2 linked regions of the Arabidopsis thaliana genome follow. The protein of the gene in region 1 interacts with the protein of each later gene in a pairwise test. Each region holds a gene or a part of one and is shown on either strand. Other genes may lie near its edges.

Evidence for each region. Proteins that work in one complex are often made in the same cells at the same time.
Region 2: the proteins of AT1G68240 (region 1) and PIL1 interact in binary tests that used the Arabidopsis thaliana proteins (3 or more experiments, as listed by UniProt).

The regions. Positions count from the first base shown.
Region 1 is NC_003070.9:25,571,775-25,579,478, forward strand, and holds AT1G68240 (basic helix-loop-helix (bHLH) DNA-binding superfamily protein), read right to left. Parts: upstream 4,356-7,704; 5' UTR 4,293-4,355; coding exon 4,062-4,292; intron 3,985-4,061; coding exon 3,916-3,984; intron 3,819-3,915; coding exon 3,753-3,818; intron 3,665-3,752; coding exon 3,512-3,664; coding exon of another isoform or gene 3,506-3,511; exon of another isoform or gene 3,444-3,505; coding exon 3,405-3,443; 3' UTR 3,090-3,404; downstream 1-3,089. Other genes in the region: AT1G68230 (Reticulon family protein), read left to right, coding at 411-501, 581-767, 851-980, 1,067-1,136, 1,289-1,458; AT1G68238 (uncharacterized protein), read left to right, coding at 2,707-2,904; AT1G68250 (uncharacterized protein), read right to left, coding at 7,657-7,704. UniProt on the Arabidopsis thaliana protein: Transcription factor involved in somatic embryogenesis. Acts as a positive regulator of somatic embryo formation. Acts as a positive regulator of ECP63 by targeting its promoter and inducing its expression.
Region 2 is NC_003071.7:19,293,029-19,301,907, reverse strand, and holds PIL1 (phytochrome interacting factor 3-like 1), read left to right. Parts: upstream 1-4,049; 5' UTR 4,050-4,229; coding exon 4,230-4,303; intron 4,304-4,370; exon of another isoform or gene 4,371-4,386; coding exon of another isoform or gene 4,387-4,394; exon of another isoform or gene 4,395-4,477; coding exon 4,478-5,012; intron 5,013-5,093; coding exon 5,094-5,201; intron 5,202-5,289; coding exon 5,290-5,355; intron 5,356-5,460; coding exon 5,461-5,526; intron 5,527-5,889; coding exon 5,890-6,291; 3' UTR 6,292-6,477; downstream 6,478-8,879. Other genes in the region: ASY3 (asynaptic protein), read left to right, coding at 1-11, 110-257, 362-493, 572-641, 724-873, 947-1,005, 1,478-1,612, 1,791-1,882 and 1 more; CYP709B1 (cytochrome P450, family 709, subfamily B, polypeptide 1), read left to right, coding at 7,696-7,972, 8,072-8,298, 8,395-8,651, 8,737-8,879. UniProt on the Arabidopsis thaliana protein: Transcription factor. Involved in responses to transient and long-term shade. Required for the light-mediated inhibition of hypocotyl elongation. Necessary for rapid light-induced expression of the photomorphogenesis- and circadian-related gene APRR9.

The sequences.
Region 1 (7,704 bases):
ACATGAAAACAATATGGGCACATAATGGACTGGGCCTACGAAGAGGCCCAATGATTGCATTCCTAACATATCTAGCCTCAACTTGGAATATACTTGCATGGGAAAGGGTTTAGCTATGATCAAAATGTTGATAACTTTTTGGAATACATTTTTGATCATTAACTCAAGTTAAGAAAGATTCTCTACAAGATATAAAACTAATTTATTCATGTAGCAATAAAATGATGAGTTTTTGCAATATGCTAAAGCCATACCTTTCCTGTTTTTTCTCAAATCGCTTTCTTCTTTATGAATCCAAGAACAAAACCGTTCTTATCCTAAAAGTTCGGAACTATATAATAAACCATGAATCTTAGACCTTAGCTCACAAAAAAGGCCACAGTTGTTTCAAAACCTGAAACCAAAACAAAATGGCGGTTTTTGGATATGAAATGGATGAACATAGAGCTTCTTCATCGAGACGACGAAGATCTTTGTACCACAATCTAGGAGGAGGACGATGTAACATATATTTTTCTTTCCGTTTTCACATTAATTTTGGTTCTTTTTCTAAAGGATTTTTCTCTTGAAATGCTTGTAGTTGCTGATATAATGTTCTGGAAGAACAAGAAAGAATCAGGAACAATCTTGGGGGTATTCACATTGATATGGTTCTTGTTCGAAGTGGTTGAATATCCTTTCATCACTTTCCTCTGCCAGATCCTCTTACTATTCATTTTCATATTCCTCATTTGGTCTTACATTGGCTCCTCACAACTAATCCAGAGGTAAGAAAAACATTAACACTACTTGAGATATACTTCTTTATGAATCAATCAACCAAGCTCTCAAGAAATGTTATTTTGCGCAGTAAACCTCCGAGTATTAATGATCTAAGGATTTCGGAATCGAATTGGAGATTCTTGTTCAACAAGATAAACTGGTTCATCATCAAATTGTATGATATTTCAAGTGGCAAAGACTTCAGACTCCTTTTTCTGGTATAAATCAATACACACAATTTCATTTTAATTATTTCATACCAAGATTGTTTTGATTTTATAACTTGTGTCTCGTTTCGTTTTAGGCCGTTGTTTCCCTATGGATATTATCAGTGGTTGGAAACTATTTCAGCTCTCTAACTCTATTATACATCGGTGAGTCTTAATGAGGTTATCTAACACATTTACTGATTAACACTCTACATTTTCCAAAACTTTTTCTTTTTGGTAAAAGCCTTTCTTTTTGGTAAAAGCCTTTCTTTTTAAGTATGGCTTTAATTACAAACATTTTTGGTGTTTTGGTGAAGTATTTGTGGGTTTGGAGACAATACCGATGTTGTATGAGCAATACGAAGAAGAGCTGACTTATGCAGCAAGTAAAAGTGGGAGGGACATGAAGAAGCTCCTAAACAAATTCAACTCCAAAGTCATTAACAAGATCCCTAAAGCTCAAGCTAAAACTAGAAGGACTATGTAACTTTTATGTATATCAATCTTCCAAATCTGCACATATTGTTACACATTATTAAAACTTAAAATAAGTCTTTGTTCATGTAATCATGATTGTTCATCAAGGAATTCAGGATTCAATGGGTATTGATCATTAGATTTTCGTTCTTTATTGAAGGTGACTCGTTGTGATTAGAATAGTCTTTTCTAAAATATGTTATTACTGGCTATCACTATTTTAAGCATGATTGGTTTCTCTAAACTCTATGAAATATTCTTGTGCAATGAAAATGTTATTCGATATTTGCCATTCTGCTACGAAGCTTGACTGGGTTTTGATACCATTACATCTTCCTCAAACCTTAGTAGAAAGTTTTGTAAGAGTTAGCATAACTCACGTTACAACGATTTATTAGTCTAAAATTTTGCAATTTTGAGGTCTAACTTTATATCAGGGATATATTCAACAGATATTCGTTTCATTATTAGGCACCTCGCACCTCTTTGGTGATAAAAGAAAATAAAAATATATTAGGTACCTCTTTGGCTTCGTCAAGGTCACTAGGGATGTTGCTTCACATGCAATCAGCTCTTGATTTCTTACTAGAAAGACTCATCGAGACTCATCTATTTTCTTGTCTCTATTCATGTATTTTTTTTCCGTAAACCAAATTAAGTTAATATATACCTCTTGGTTTTTTGTTTGGATTTTTGTTTATCACTTTTGCTTACTGCTTCTCTATTTTACATCTTTGCATTATTCCGTAACTGTTTACCATTTATTTGTTAGATAGTTCAAATTGTTTTAAGTTGCTAATCAGAGTCTTCTAATCAATTTTTTGAATCTTCAGAAAAACAAATCTCCAAAATATTTTCGTATATCCATACATTCAAAGTCCAAATAGACATCTATGTAAATATAGTCATCTATGTAATTATGTCATTTGTAGTGCTACTTTCTTATATTGTTCTACTTTATGACCACTTTTAAAAACTCGCTCTTAGTTATGTTTTTTTGCTAACTAAGAAATTTTTAATTTATTTTTTAAGACAATCAAGTGGCCGCACACACAATTGGTTAACTACTAGCTTGTGATCCACTGACCCTAGAGTTAAACCAAAGGGCAGTATATATAAGAAAGAGTCGTCGCATCTTTTTTTTGGTGACTTCTGACTCGAAAACGCAAAACCACACATTTGAAAATATGCCAATTACAACTCTCTTTATCAACTAGTCTCAACAATTGTCACAAAGCGATGCACAAAAACTCTTTCAATGGTGAGAGGAGAACTCGCGGTAATAGCGGCGGGTAATGGTGAAGTCTCACTCTACATTTGGGCAGCTGTTGTGGCTTTCTCCGTCATAGCAGCCGTGATTTTCTCATGCAGTGACCGAGCTTCTAAACCTCACACTAACGACGATGTCAATGGATCCAGTTGCGCCGCTGGCTGCGGTGGTGGTTGTGGAGGTTAAACGGGAAGCATTTTTTGTTTACTTTAGTAACATTTAAAGATAAAACTATTTTGGCTTCTTGCTTTAATAAAAAAAGTTAAAGTGTGTAGATAATTTGTAGCCAATGAATGTATTCTGCTTCTTGAATTTAACATTTTAGTGATCTAGTTCGTTTTCTATGATTCAAGATAAAAATTATCAAACTAGGGTTGTAGTAATGTTTGGTACAAACGTACTATTACACGTAACATAACATCTTTGTTGTTTATTTAACTTACATTCAACAAAGAAAAAGGTTGAGCAAAACAGAACATAAATAACAGAGGAACAATGCTCAACCAAAACAGAACATAAAAAACAGGTGTTTTTACATATTGTGGCATCAAACTAAAAGTTATACATAAAACTACGTATGTATTTATGTATCTATGTACATATCTTAGTTTACAAAGACAGTCTATATAAACAGCAACGAGTCTAAAGCCGGAGGGTCTTAAAAAGCCACATAGCTAGAGCTTGTTTTAAGGTTGAGTTTGATTTGGCGGCACTGTTCCATATACCTGTGATAAAAGATTGATGGCAGAAATCAGAATCTGTGGAATCAGATTAAACTTTAATTTGATCAAACCTGAGGATATTGCGGGATATAGGTCATGTTTTGCTGAGGCATCATTGGAACTCCTGGCGTATAATAGCCCCAAGGAGACATACATGGTGCTTGAGCTGCTGCATAAAATGGTGGTGTGTAAACCGGAGTTGTTGTGTATGCCATTGACATAACCTGGACCACATCCACATAACACATAAGAACATATATACTCTAATGGATACAAGTAACTAAATTAAATTAGATATAGTTTAATGCTTACATCTACTTGATATTTCAAACTTTTAATGTATTCAATGATGTTTTCAAGCTTCGATGCAAGGTCCGGCTGTAGATAAACACACAAGAAACTCGATATTCGAAACTTGATATTGTATTAGACTCTAATATATAAAAAATATGGAGTAAATTAAGTAATAGTTAACCTTTGTGCAATGATTAGGCATCAACCCCTGCAAAATATCTACTTTATCTTTGATCTCCTTTCGTCTTTTCTACAAAGTTTAGAAAGCAAAAATATAAATTAGCTAGGGAATCACGTAAGAGAAGAAGGAGATTAAGTCATCTTCACCTTCTCCATCATCATACGATATTCCATGGAACGTTGCCGTTTAGCCATACGGTAACTTTCCTCGTCTGGCTCCTCGTCGTGTTTCTCATGATCATTGTTTTTGGTAACACCGAATATCTCTTGCAAAGGGTTTAATTCACTATGATTTTCTGAACAAAACGAATAAATAATATCAGAAAGCGAACATTGCTCTTCTTCGTGAGTCCCCTCGTTGCGGTTGTTTCTCTCCATTGATGATTGACTAAATTGAGGATTTTGAGTTTGTTAAAGAGTGAAAAGTGGAGGGTTAAGGATAAACTAGTTAGTTCAGCCATAAGCTATATATATATAGGGGAGATACAAGAAGCTTCTTTTGAAAGTTCCAACAATTGAGCGGGAAGCAAAGAAGATGATTTTGCTTCGTCCCATGGTTTTCTCTAACAATTTATTTACTCATTTTCCATTATATTATTATATTTATGTGTTCCACATTTACGCACATCCATTAGACAGAAGAAAACATATATTTTTGTTGTTTTCTTATATTTGCTTTCTTGCTCTTTCTTGAAATTCTAAGAACGGCAGGGGAATAGTGTCATTCTTGTTCATGAACGGCAGTTCTTAATCTTTAGTATTTTATTTTTCTTCTCAAGCTAGCTATGGATACAACAAATTGCATTAAAATTGGAAAAACATTATCTAGTTGGAAAAGAGAACTGTAAAACTCCTATTACAAGTTCGAACAAAAATGACATATTTCAATATTTAAGAATTATTTATTTTGATTGAGAACAAGATAAACTTTCTATTATATCAACAACATGCATGGACATGTCCATGCAAGGGCAAGAAAATGTTTCTAGTCAGAAATTTGTTTTGACCGGCTTGTAACACTGTGCAAGCTAGCTTCTGATGTGATATTTAGAACGTACGTTTGCATATATTTATCGAGTTACGTGTCTCTTCAATACTCATACATATTTTAAGGAGTCATGCACCAAAATCTTTCATATAAACATGTGCTGATCAGAGATCTTGAACTCTCTATCGAATAGCTTCGCCATCGACCCAAATACATAAGACCGTCGTCTGATTACTTCATTGAGACGGGACGTTTTTTATAGCTAGATGTACTATTTTAATTTGGGTTATTTGTGGATACATGCACACTCTCGTTACTTCTCCTTCTTAAATAAACCTCAACCATTTCATTTTTTTCTCTCAACCATTTCATTTTTTTCTCTCAACCATTTCTTCAATATCTCGTATATATTATTTGAACAATTGGAGACAGATAGAAAAAAAAAACGGACAAGCAAAACATATTTGGTTAACCTGCCATCATATGAGCGATTTGAAAGAAAAATAATATAAAATTTCGATTGCCAAGTTTAAAACTAACATTTAATTATGAATGTTTTGGGTGCAACAATGAATATATTTTTTACACTAACATCATTATAGTAACAAATATATTTAATGTTGTAAATAGATATTTGCAATATCATTCAATTTAGTTATAAAAAAAATCATTCAATTAAATTAATTTCTTAAGTTAGTTTTTGTTAAACAATTGAATCTATAACATCATTAACTATTTGTTTTGCTCAAAGATTGAAAATAAAAACAGAAAAAAAAAATGAATTTAAGATTCTCTACAGGCCCAAACCGCGGATCAAATATCTAATATTTAAATATTTATGAAAATATTTCATTTTTAAATCTTTCTTACAAATTATAAACGTTAACGAAAAAACAAAAAAACGTTAACGAGATATGTAAGTTAAAAAAAATCACTTATATATGTTTATCATTTTAGCTACAAAGTTTTTTTTCTTTAAAACAATATTAATATAGTTTTTTTGCCAAAATAATAATATTTATATTATTTATTTTATTTTAGATATAATATAATATATTTCAACACATTTTTTGTTTATGTTCGGAACAATCCTTAGTTTCACAATATAGCTAGATTCTTCTTGGTGATTAATGTGAATTAATATATGATGTTGCGCACTAGAACTAAACACGAAAACATTGCATTTAAACAACCAAAATACTATAAGTTGTTTACGATAAACAATGTAAAACGTTACAACGTTACAGTATACTATACAACAGTGCGAAAACGTACAACAAAGAGCAAGCCACATAGTACTCCTAGTTTCAAATACAACTTGGGAGACCAACTCCTTTACATTAAACAACAAACCATATTATTAAAGAACTTGAGAGAACCGGTCTTTAATACTAAAACATGAACTGGTCTTATATACTACAGCATCTTGTAGTTTACATCGGCTTTGTCGTCTGTGGTTGATTATTGTTGTTGACTCCCTGTAAATTTTTCATTGTCAAGAAAGAACAGATAAATAAAGAACAACTAACAATCACAAAAATATAAACACATGAAGAAGAAAACAAATCAAAACCTGATAAGTGGTAAAGGGTACAAATTGGTTGGCGTAGCCGCTAGTTTCTCCTGGTGCCGGTGCTGCCGGAAAGTGATTGTAATACATCATGTAGTTTGGAGGGACATAATTATAAGGATATACCCATGGTGCCGGAATATCCACCACCCCCATGCCCGGTGGCATCATTAGACCTATTGAGTTTCTCCAATAACTCTGCATTGTTAAATATTGAGTTTAGTCATGATAAATGGTTTTCTTTAATTACTGCTTTTGTCTAATCCAGCAAGTAAGAAATGACATTCACTTAACTATCATATAACATATGATAAACTGAATTAAACAAAACCAATGAAAAAGAAAAATTTGAAACTAAAAAAACATATATGAAATCCTAAATATACATGCATGTCGTGAGATAACAACAATGTGACGATTCAGATTACTTACTTCTACACAAAGCTTCATCTCCCGTATTTTATCGATGATATACTCAAGGCTCGAGTCTAAGTTTCTCTACGTACAGTTCATGCGGATAACAAATTAAAAACAAAGCAAAAGTTGTATTAGTAATATCAGACCCAAATTTATTTTTCATTAGCGTTTGTTGATACAAGTTAAATGGATGTCCTAAAAAAACACCACTAATTTAGTTTTTTAATTAAGGACATATGTTAAGTTTCAAACACAAATAGGAGAATAAACTTCTTGTTTATACGTATATGAACAAAATATTTTGATTAGTAAAGATAATTAAACACATGTATCAATTTGTATTTGCAACAATTAGATGAAAAAAATAGAGGCAAAAAGTTGGTATGCATGAACCTTTCCATTACAACGTGTCATCTCCTTCAACGTCTCAATTTTGCTATTAATATCATTGCGTCTCCTCTGCATTTTGAAATCAAAATAACAAAACATTAAGCCTTTTTCCAAAAAAATAAGAAAGAAAAAAACGTTGAACAACGTGGTCTTTTTCGTTGAGAGACACGCATTAAACAAACAAACGTGTCCTCACCTTGTCATTGATAATGCGTGCTTCATAACCACGTGGTCTCTTACCAAGACTCTTGCTTCCTTCCTTCGCAGCATCTTCCTTCTCCTTACCCTATATAATAACAAAGTTCGTATTAGACCTAACTCATATGTAAAATAAATAAACGGAAAAAAAAACTCATATATATATCTAAGAAAATCAACTACATAATTACCTTTTCCGTTGCTTTTTGAGTAGATTTCTCTTGATC
Region 2 (8,879 bases), on another chromosome or scaffold:
AGAGATTGCCTGTAACCTTCATAAACTGAAGCGGCTTTATCTATACTTAAGTTGCATATTGACTTTATATACTCCTCTTTGACTTTTGTGTTTACTTATTTATTTTCAGGATTTCTTGGAGAAGAAAAGAGATTATTCTTTCAGAAGAGAAAGTTCTCCTGAGCCAAATGAAGATTTAGTTCTGTCTGATCCGTCGTCTGATGAGCGAGACTCAGATGGTTCAAGAGAAGATTCACCAGTGTTAGGCCATAACATCAGTATGCTTCTTAATTCTTATCCTAGACCATATAAAAACTGGAGGATCTTATTTTCTTCTTAACAGAATCCATGTTTTGCTTATTCTATTGATCTTCTGATTCAGGCCCCGAAGAAAGAGAAACTGCCAATTGGACTAATGAGAGATCTATGTTAGGCCCTAGCTCAGTTAAACGGAACTCTAACCTTAAGGGCATTGGACGTGTCGTGTTAAGTCCTCCCTCCCCTTTGTCAAAAGGTATAATGCTCATTTGTATGTCACTGTTGTGGGTTTATATACTGCACCCTCATTTGTTTTGTCCTGGAAACTGAGCAGGGATCGATAAAACTGATTCCTTCCAGCATTGTTCAGAGATGGATGAGGATGAAGATGAAGGCTTGGGAAGGTCTCTTGTAGATATAACTAATATTACGTGTCTATCTTTAATCTTTGTTCCTGTCTTAAGTTGATTATTTACCATGTCTCAGGGCTGTTGCATTGTTCGCTATGGCTCTTCAAAACTTTGAGAGAAAACTGAAATCTGCAGCTGAAAAGAAGTCCTCAGAAATTATAGCATCAGTCTCCGAGGAGATACATCTGGAGTTGGAGAATATCAAGTCCCATATCATAACAGAAGCGTATGTTTGTATAATTTATTCTGCATTCTTTCTTTTAAATTATCAATCAAAGATCTTGTTAATTATGGTACAGGGGAAAGACAAGTAACCTAGCCAAAACTAAGAGAAAGCATGCCGAAACAAGATTACAAGGTACATCAACACATTATATCTTAATAGTTAATACTGTACTCGAATTCACAGTCATGAACATTAAGAAAGCTTAGAAGTTCAAATATACTATCTTTGCAGTTTAATCCTGATTCAAGGTAGTAGATCGGAAATTTGATATCAAGTATTACTCTTTAGATTGCATTTAGTCTTGAAGTACTCACCATCTTGCTTCATTCTTGTGCTTTCATGTCTCTTTGATTAGACACACACACACACCTAACTATACTTTCGGCTCTAACATAGACATGAAACTTGCATTTAACATAGTTATATCAAGACAAAGCTAAATGCTCAATTCATTCCTATGTGGAGAATAATAAAAAATTGAGCTGTGTATTGTTGTGGAACATGAGAGTCTGGAAATGTCTCCATATTTCCACTCATTGAATAAAAATATGCAAGATCCGTTCTGATCTATTGTGTTCACTGATAATATCTAATCGTCTAACAGAGCAAGAAGAGAAAATGAGAATGATCCATGAAAAGTTCAAGGACGATGTCAGCCATCATCTTGAAGATTTTAAGAGTACTATCGAAGAGCTTGAAGCAAACCAGTCAGAGCTGAAAGGAAGCATAAAGAAGCAAAGTATGTTAACTTCTGTAATTCCTGCTTTTACTACAACGAATTCTAACACTAGAAATACTTGAAACATATGATGTTATCAAAGTTAGATTCTTCATGGCAAGATAGTTTTAATATAATAATAGCAGGAGGACAAGTATTTCCTAAACTCACTTGATAACTTTTTATCTCTCTATGACAGGAACATCACACCAAAAACTCATTGCACATTTTGAAGGAGGCATCGAGACAAAACTGGACGATGCGACCAAAAGAATCGATTCTGTAAACAAGGCAAGTCATTGTTCTGCTTCTTAAGAGTCAGATTCTAAAAATGGTTAAATCATGAATTCAAAAGCACAACTTAAAAATGACGTATTGGTTTACAGTCTGCGAGAGGAAAGATGCTGCAGCTGAAGATGATTGTCGCAGAATGTTTGAGGGATGATTGACACTGAGTCTCACAGAATCAATCAACCACACGTACGTCGTTATTCTCCATTTTAAAACATAAACTAGACGAACTGTGTTAACCAGGAAAGAAAAACCTCTCAAGCAAAACCAGCCTTTGGTTTAGTGGTCTCATGAGTTCAGGCGAATAAAGAAGATATAGTAGATGATGCTTTGACTCATTGTCATTGATTCGTATTCGTATAGAATAGTTTATTGTTCACTGAACCACTACAAAACTACTTATATCATAGAGCCTTATTTTATATAGCAGTTTGAAGGTTTCTTTTTAATTTATTTTTGCCAGCAACTGCAGATATTTTTTATTAAACCAACAACTTTTAATTAGGTTATTGATATCTTGATATATATCGAAGCAAAACCAATCCAAACATTTTTCTTTTAAAAACCAGAATATTTTGCAGACGTTGATGTGAATTTTAATTACAATATTTTACTTTAACAGAGATGTATTTCATATTGAATATCAAAACCAAACTGAACAAAGAATGGTCACAATTCGATATCAATCGAATGAAACAGAAAATAAAATGTTGGACCCAACAATTTTACTGTGATGATAAAAACATGGTAGAGATAATTTTGTTTGTAAATAGAGAGATCTCAAATCACAGAGGATTCTTTTTTTACGGTCGGTAAAAGAATTTAGAATGTGTCGAGAGGGTAAAAATGGAGAAGACGACAAGATAGTAGCAGTCGTTAGAAACAAACAAGAAAGAAGGGAGGGAGACAAAATAACACAAAGGGGTGGATGAATCACGCGGCATTCACGTGAAGTGCACGTGAACTTGGCCAAAAAAAGCCTAATTGTGGGTCCCATTTAAAGAGAAAACTAAAGCCTTTAAGAAAGGGCCCATCCATATATGTCTTAATAATGGCGTGAAGGTTCTTTCCGCTCACGTGGGCCTTTTGTGCCCGTCTCTCTCGCATGTCACTCACTACAGTTTTACTAGTGTTTTGTTTTATTTTTGATAACAACATTATTGATTTTTTTTCGGTCTACCTAAGTTTTGACCTTTCTTTTTTAATTGTGAACAATTGAACATGCGTATTACTTATTGATAATACTTTTATCTTCAATAAAAAAAATAACACACGAACATAATATAGAAATAGTGTGTTCCAATACTGGAGATTATTTAGTAAGTTCAGTTGGACGCTTTGTCATTGCATAGTTTGGAATTTATTCCTAAACTTTCTAAGAACACGTTCTTATAGGAATTTGCATGACGAAAAAATCAATACTAGTTGCATTATTGTTGGAGCATCATCGGGAGTGATTTTTTTTGTGTTTTCCTATTTACTACATTGTGTTTTCCTGACCTTTTAAATAAAAAGGAAATACACAAAACCATATATAAATATATGTATATATATATCTGACTGTGCTCAAGTAAAATTCACGGATCAGACGTTAAAAAAATGATCATGCTTAATATTTTCTCATTTTAGATGAAGACAAAAAAAAAAAAAAGGAATTGCAATCGTAGATTTGACTTTATTTTTATTTAATTTTTCTATTCTTTTTCCGAAAGCAGAGAAAAATGGAGCGGTGGAGAGTAGAGAAGTCGGTCATAAGAATGTCTCTCTCTCTATTTCTTTGTCTTTCACTATCGCCCATACATTATCTTGCTTCTTTCATTTATTCCATCAATATTTTTGTTTTAAAATGAAAGATTTACACATTAACATGAATACTTATACTACTCTTTATCGCGTATATATAGTATAGTCTATGTTATTATGAATTTATGATTATATTTTTTCTATAAAACGTGCGAAAACTCATTTCACATATACAAACAAATATATACGTTTTGTATTAAAAAAAAGCAACTGTAAATTTTATAAATCTGAAATGTAACATTTGAAGTCGACCAAAGTTTGTAAGGTAATAATTTGTACTAATTCTCCATACTGTGTCATAATCACGATTCAAGGATAAATATATGAGTTGTGGACCAAAACAAATCCTCCATATCAATCAATCATAAATGAAATAAGCGAATATACATATATACAACCGACTATATATATATATATATGCTGCTCTTCATTAACCCCAAGAAAGAAAACCAAAGTGTGAAGTCCGAATCTCTCTGATTCTACAATTCACAAAAACCGGAAAAAAAAAAAGACAAGTAAAGAAAGCTTTGTTCAGTTTACTTCAATGGAAGCAAAACCCTTAGCATCATCATCATCTGAACCAAACATGATTTCTCCATCATCAAACATTAAACCAAAGTAAGTTTATTATGGTTTCATCTACACTTTTTGCGACTTCTATAAACATATACACATGCGTGGTTTTGAAATAATGGGCGCTTATGGTTCTGTCGGTGCTTGAAACAATTTTGTCTTCTCCTGACTATTTTTTTTTTGTTAATAGGTTATTTATACGTGACTCTTTTCTTGCAGATTAAAAGATGAAGATTATATGGAGCTGGTGTGTGAAAATGGGCAGATTCTTGCAAAGATTCGAAGACCAAAGAACAACGGTTCTTTTCAAAAGCAACGTAGGCAATCTCTCCTGGATTTGTATGAGACCGAGTACAGCGAGGGTTTCAAGAAAAACATCAAGATTCTTGGAGACACACAAGTTGTTCCGGTGAGTCAGTCTAAGCCACAACAAGATAAAGAAACCAATGAACAAATGAACAACAATAAGAAGAAGCTAAAGTCCTCCAAAATCGAATTTGAGAGAAATGTTTCGAAAAGCAACAAATGTGTTGAATCATCAACATTAATTGATGTTTCTGCTAAAGGTCCAAAGAATGTTGAAGTTACTACAGCTCCTCCTGATGAGCAATCTGCAGCTGTTGGTAGATCCACGGAATTGTATTTTGCTTCTTCATCGAAGTTTTCTCGAGGAACTTCGAGAGATCTAAGTTGTTGTTCTTTAAAGAGGAAGTATGGAGATATTGAAGAAGAAGAATCAACCTATTTAAGTAATGTAAGAGAAATTAATTAGCTGCTTGTCTTAGTTCTTTCACATGGTAGATCATTAATTGTCTTTTTCTTATTGCTTATGCAGAATTCAGATGATGAATCAGATGATGCGAAGACACAAGTTCATGCGAGAACAAGAAAGCCGGTGACTAAAAGAAAACGAAGCACAGAAGTCCATAAGTTATATGAAAGAGTGAGTTTATATGTATGAAAATTTCACCTTAGTTAGTAGAAAAAAAATAATGTATGAAAATTAATGCTAATTAAGGATTTGTTAACAGAAACGAAGAGATGAATTCAACAAGAAAATGCGTGCTTTGCAGGACCTACTACCAAATTGTTACAAGGTTTGAGATTAACTTAAATCACATTACATTGTTTACTTAGTCTTAGAGAGTTAATTAATTTTCTCTTTGTGGAGATTTCTGAATATCTGTAATTGTTGATGATAGGATGATAAGGCTTCATTGTTGGATGAGGCTATCAAATATATGCGGACCCTTCAACTTCAAGTTCAGGTATTCAAAATAATACACCAATTCAATAAAATTTCATTGAGAGATAATAAAATGATTCAGGTGTTAATTATTTAAACACAGACTTGTGTTTATATTTACATATAAATTTGTTTTTTAACATTAAAATATACTTTGTAAAGTGTTTTTGTTATCAAATATTATTGCGTTTGGCTTTTACCTTTACGAATGATTCTTGATAAAGTCACTAGAAACTAGTTTCATAAGAGAAACCAAAACAAATTATAAACGTAATTAAACACTAATCAATAAACAATCAAAAGTTTATTCCTTATTTATTTTACTACAAATTTTTTTACATATATATAAGATTCTTAATTAACATGCTCTAATAATTATTTACAGATGATGAGTATGGGAAATGGATTAATAAGACCACCTACGATGTTGCCAATGGGTCATTACTCTCCCATGGGTCTAGGAATGCATATGGGTGCAGCAGCAACACCAACATCAATACCGCAATTCCTGCCTATGAATGTTCAAGCAACCGGTTTTCCGGGGATGAACAATGCACCACCACAAATGCTAAGCTTTCTTAATCACCCAAGTGGACTAATTCCAAACACTCCTATCTTTTCTCCATTGGAAAATTGCTCTCAGCCATTCGTGGTGCCTTCGTGTGTTTCTCAGACTCAGGCTACTTCTTTTACTCAATTCCCAAAGTCTGCGTCCGCCTCAAACTTAGAAGATGCAATGCAATATAGAGGAAGCAACGGTTTTAGTTATTATCGCTCGCCAAACTAATGATTTGTAGAAAGTTGATGTTTTCTCCAACTAACTAACTTTAAGCAAAAAAAAATGATCGTCTACTCTGTGTTGTTAGTCTATGGGCTTTTGGGCCTTGATTCTTGGAACGATTTGAACTTAATTCCAACTATTTTCAAAGTGGATGTACAAAGTAAAATATAACAAATATAAGTTATCATAGACTCTATAACAAAGTTATAAGTAGAGGACGTGCAATTGCATAATGATGGATGATGATGAGTGTTCAATTACGATAAACCGATTTTAACGCAAACCCAACTAAGATGAAGACAACTCATTTGACCTAAATCGTAATTTGAAACGAATTTTGCCATGTTTTTGGGATTAAGGAACAATCTCAATGATGAGATTGAGTAAAGTACTACAAAACTTGGGCTTGATGGGCTTTTTAGTGGACTAATATCTACTTTATTCTTTCTTTTTTCAAACATTAAAAAATTAATTGGGCTTTTTCAAACACGAAAACAAGGGAGTGCAATAGTGTGATGAAGATGAGACTCACACATTGAATTTCTGATATTTTAGCGTCAGGTGCGTTGAAAACTTGAAATCAATGTGAAGATTCTCTTTTAAAAATAGATGACTCTTATTTCATGAGTTAACATGATACTTAAAGAAAGTGGATAGTTAAGTCTAAACCAATTCTTTTAGTATAGAAATAAAATTTCAACCACTTCCTTTAAATATGAAACCATGCAAAAGTAGATAACAAACGAAAAAGTGTTTCATTTTAAGATTCGATGTCACGATCCATCACATTGCACCGTTGGTTGATAAATATCTCTCATCTTTGTTTATTTATTTTCACAATGTTGTACTTCTATTTCTATAACATTTTCGTTTGAATTCAAATACCAAATTAACTCTCCAAACAATTAGTTCATCAAGTATTTTGTTCACAATGATATGTTAACAACAAATCATTGATTCATTGTCCATGCCGGATTATTTTAAAGATACAGAAACAGTAAACCTAAGATACAATGAATGCTAAAACTAAATTATTCTCCCAAAAGGATTACTTAGCTTTCATGAGTAATTTTATATTTTTCTTTTATCCACTCATTTTTTATATACTTTCTATAATTGTCTTATTACGTAACAAATATGTGCTATAGGCATATTTAGAATCTACTCTATCATCATACCATATATAAGACACATTTTACTTTATTAATTACTTTTTGTTTGTTCTCAAATTGAAAATAAACAGACGTGTTTGTGCTAACTTCATGTAGTGTTTAGATAGTGTTTCATTCACTGGCCATAGACTTATTTTACAAAGTTATATGTGCATGTCATTATATAGTGTAGAACTTAAAACACCTAACCAAGAACAACAATACACACACACAAACATAAGGAAAAAAAAACTTTTCCATGGGGCTCGTAATTTTCTTGGCACTAATTGTCTTAATCCTTATTATTGGTCTCAGGATATTCAAAGCTTTTATGATTCTTGTTTGGCATCCATTTGTGTTGACCAGAAGACTCAAAAACCAAGGAATCTCAGGCCCAAATTACAGAATCTTTTACGGAAACCTCAGCGAGATAAAGAAGATGAAGAGAGAATCTCATCTTTCGATTCTTGATCCTAGCTCCAATGATATTTTCCCTCGTATTCTTCCTCATTATCAAAAATGGATGTCTCAATACGGTGTCGTTTTCTCCAACTCTCTCTTTGTTCATCTTTTATTTTAGATTTTATTCGAGGATAATGCGTAACACACAAGTTATCTATGTTATATATTATTAGGAGAGACTTTTCTTTACTGGAACGGAACAGAGCCAAGGATATGCATCTCAGATCCTGAACTTGCAAAAACTATGTTGTCGAACAAGTTAGGTTTCTTTGTCAAATCAAAGGCAAGACCTGAGGCTGTTAAACTTGTCGGCTCCAAAGGACTTGTCTTTATCGAAGGTGCTGATTGGGTTCGCCATAGAAGAATCTTGAACCCTGCTTTCTCCATCGATAGGCTCAAGGTATTTTAATCCTTCTTTCTTAGCTTGACTTGAGAAATTAAACATTAGAGCCGAATAACTTAATTTTGGTTGTAAATTTCTCATTTTGTTGATCAGATCATGACGACCGTGATGGTTGATTGTACGCTCAAGATGTTAGAGGAGTGGAGAAAAGAGAGCACTAAGGAAGAAACAGAGCACCCGAAGATTAAAAAGGAAATGAACGAAGAGTTCCAAAGACTAACAGCTGATATAATAGCAACCTCTGCGTTTGGAAGCAGTTACGTCGAAGGAATCGAAGTGTTTAGATCACAAATGGAGCTTAAAAGGTGTTATACAACTTCTCTCAACCAAGTCTCTATCCCTGGAACTCAGTAAGTTAATCATTCTCCTACTTTCAGTTCTCAAACAAGATTCTTAGGTTTTGACATATATTGGTCTTGTTTCTTGTATTCTAAGGTACCTTCCTACGCCTTCGAACATTCGGGTATGGAAGCTGGAGAGGAAAATGGATAACTCAATTAAGAGAATTATAAGTTCGAGACTACAGTCAAAGTCAGATTATGGAGACGATCTTCTCGGAATCTTGTTGAAAGCTTACA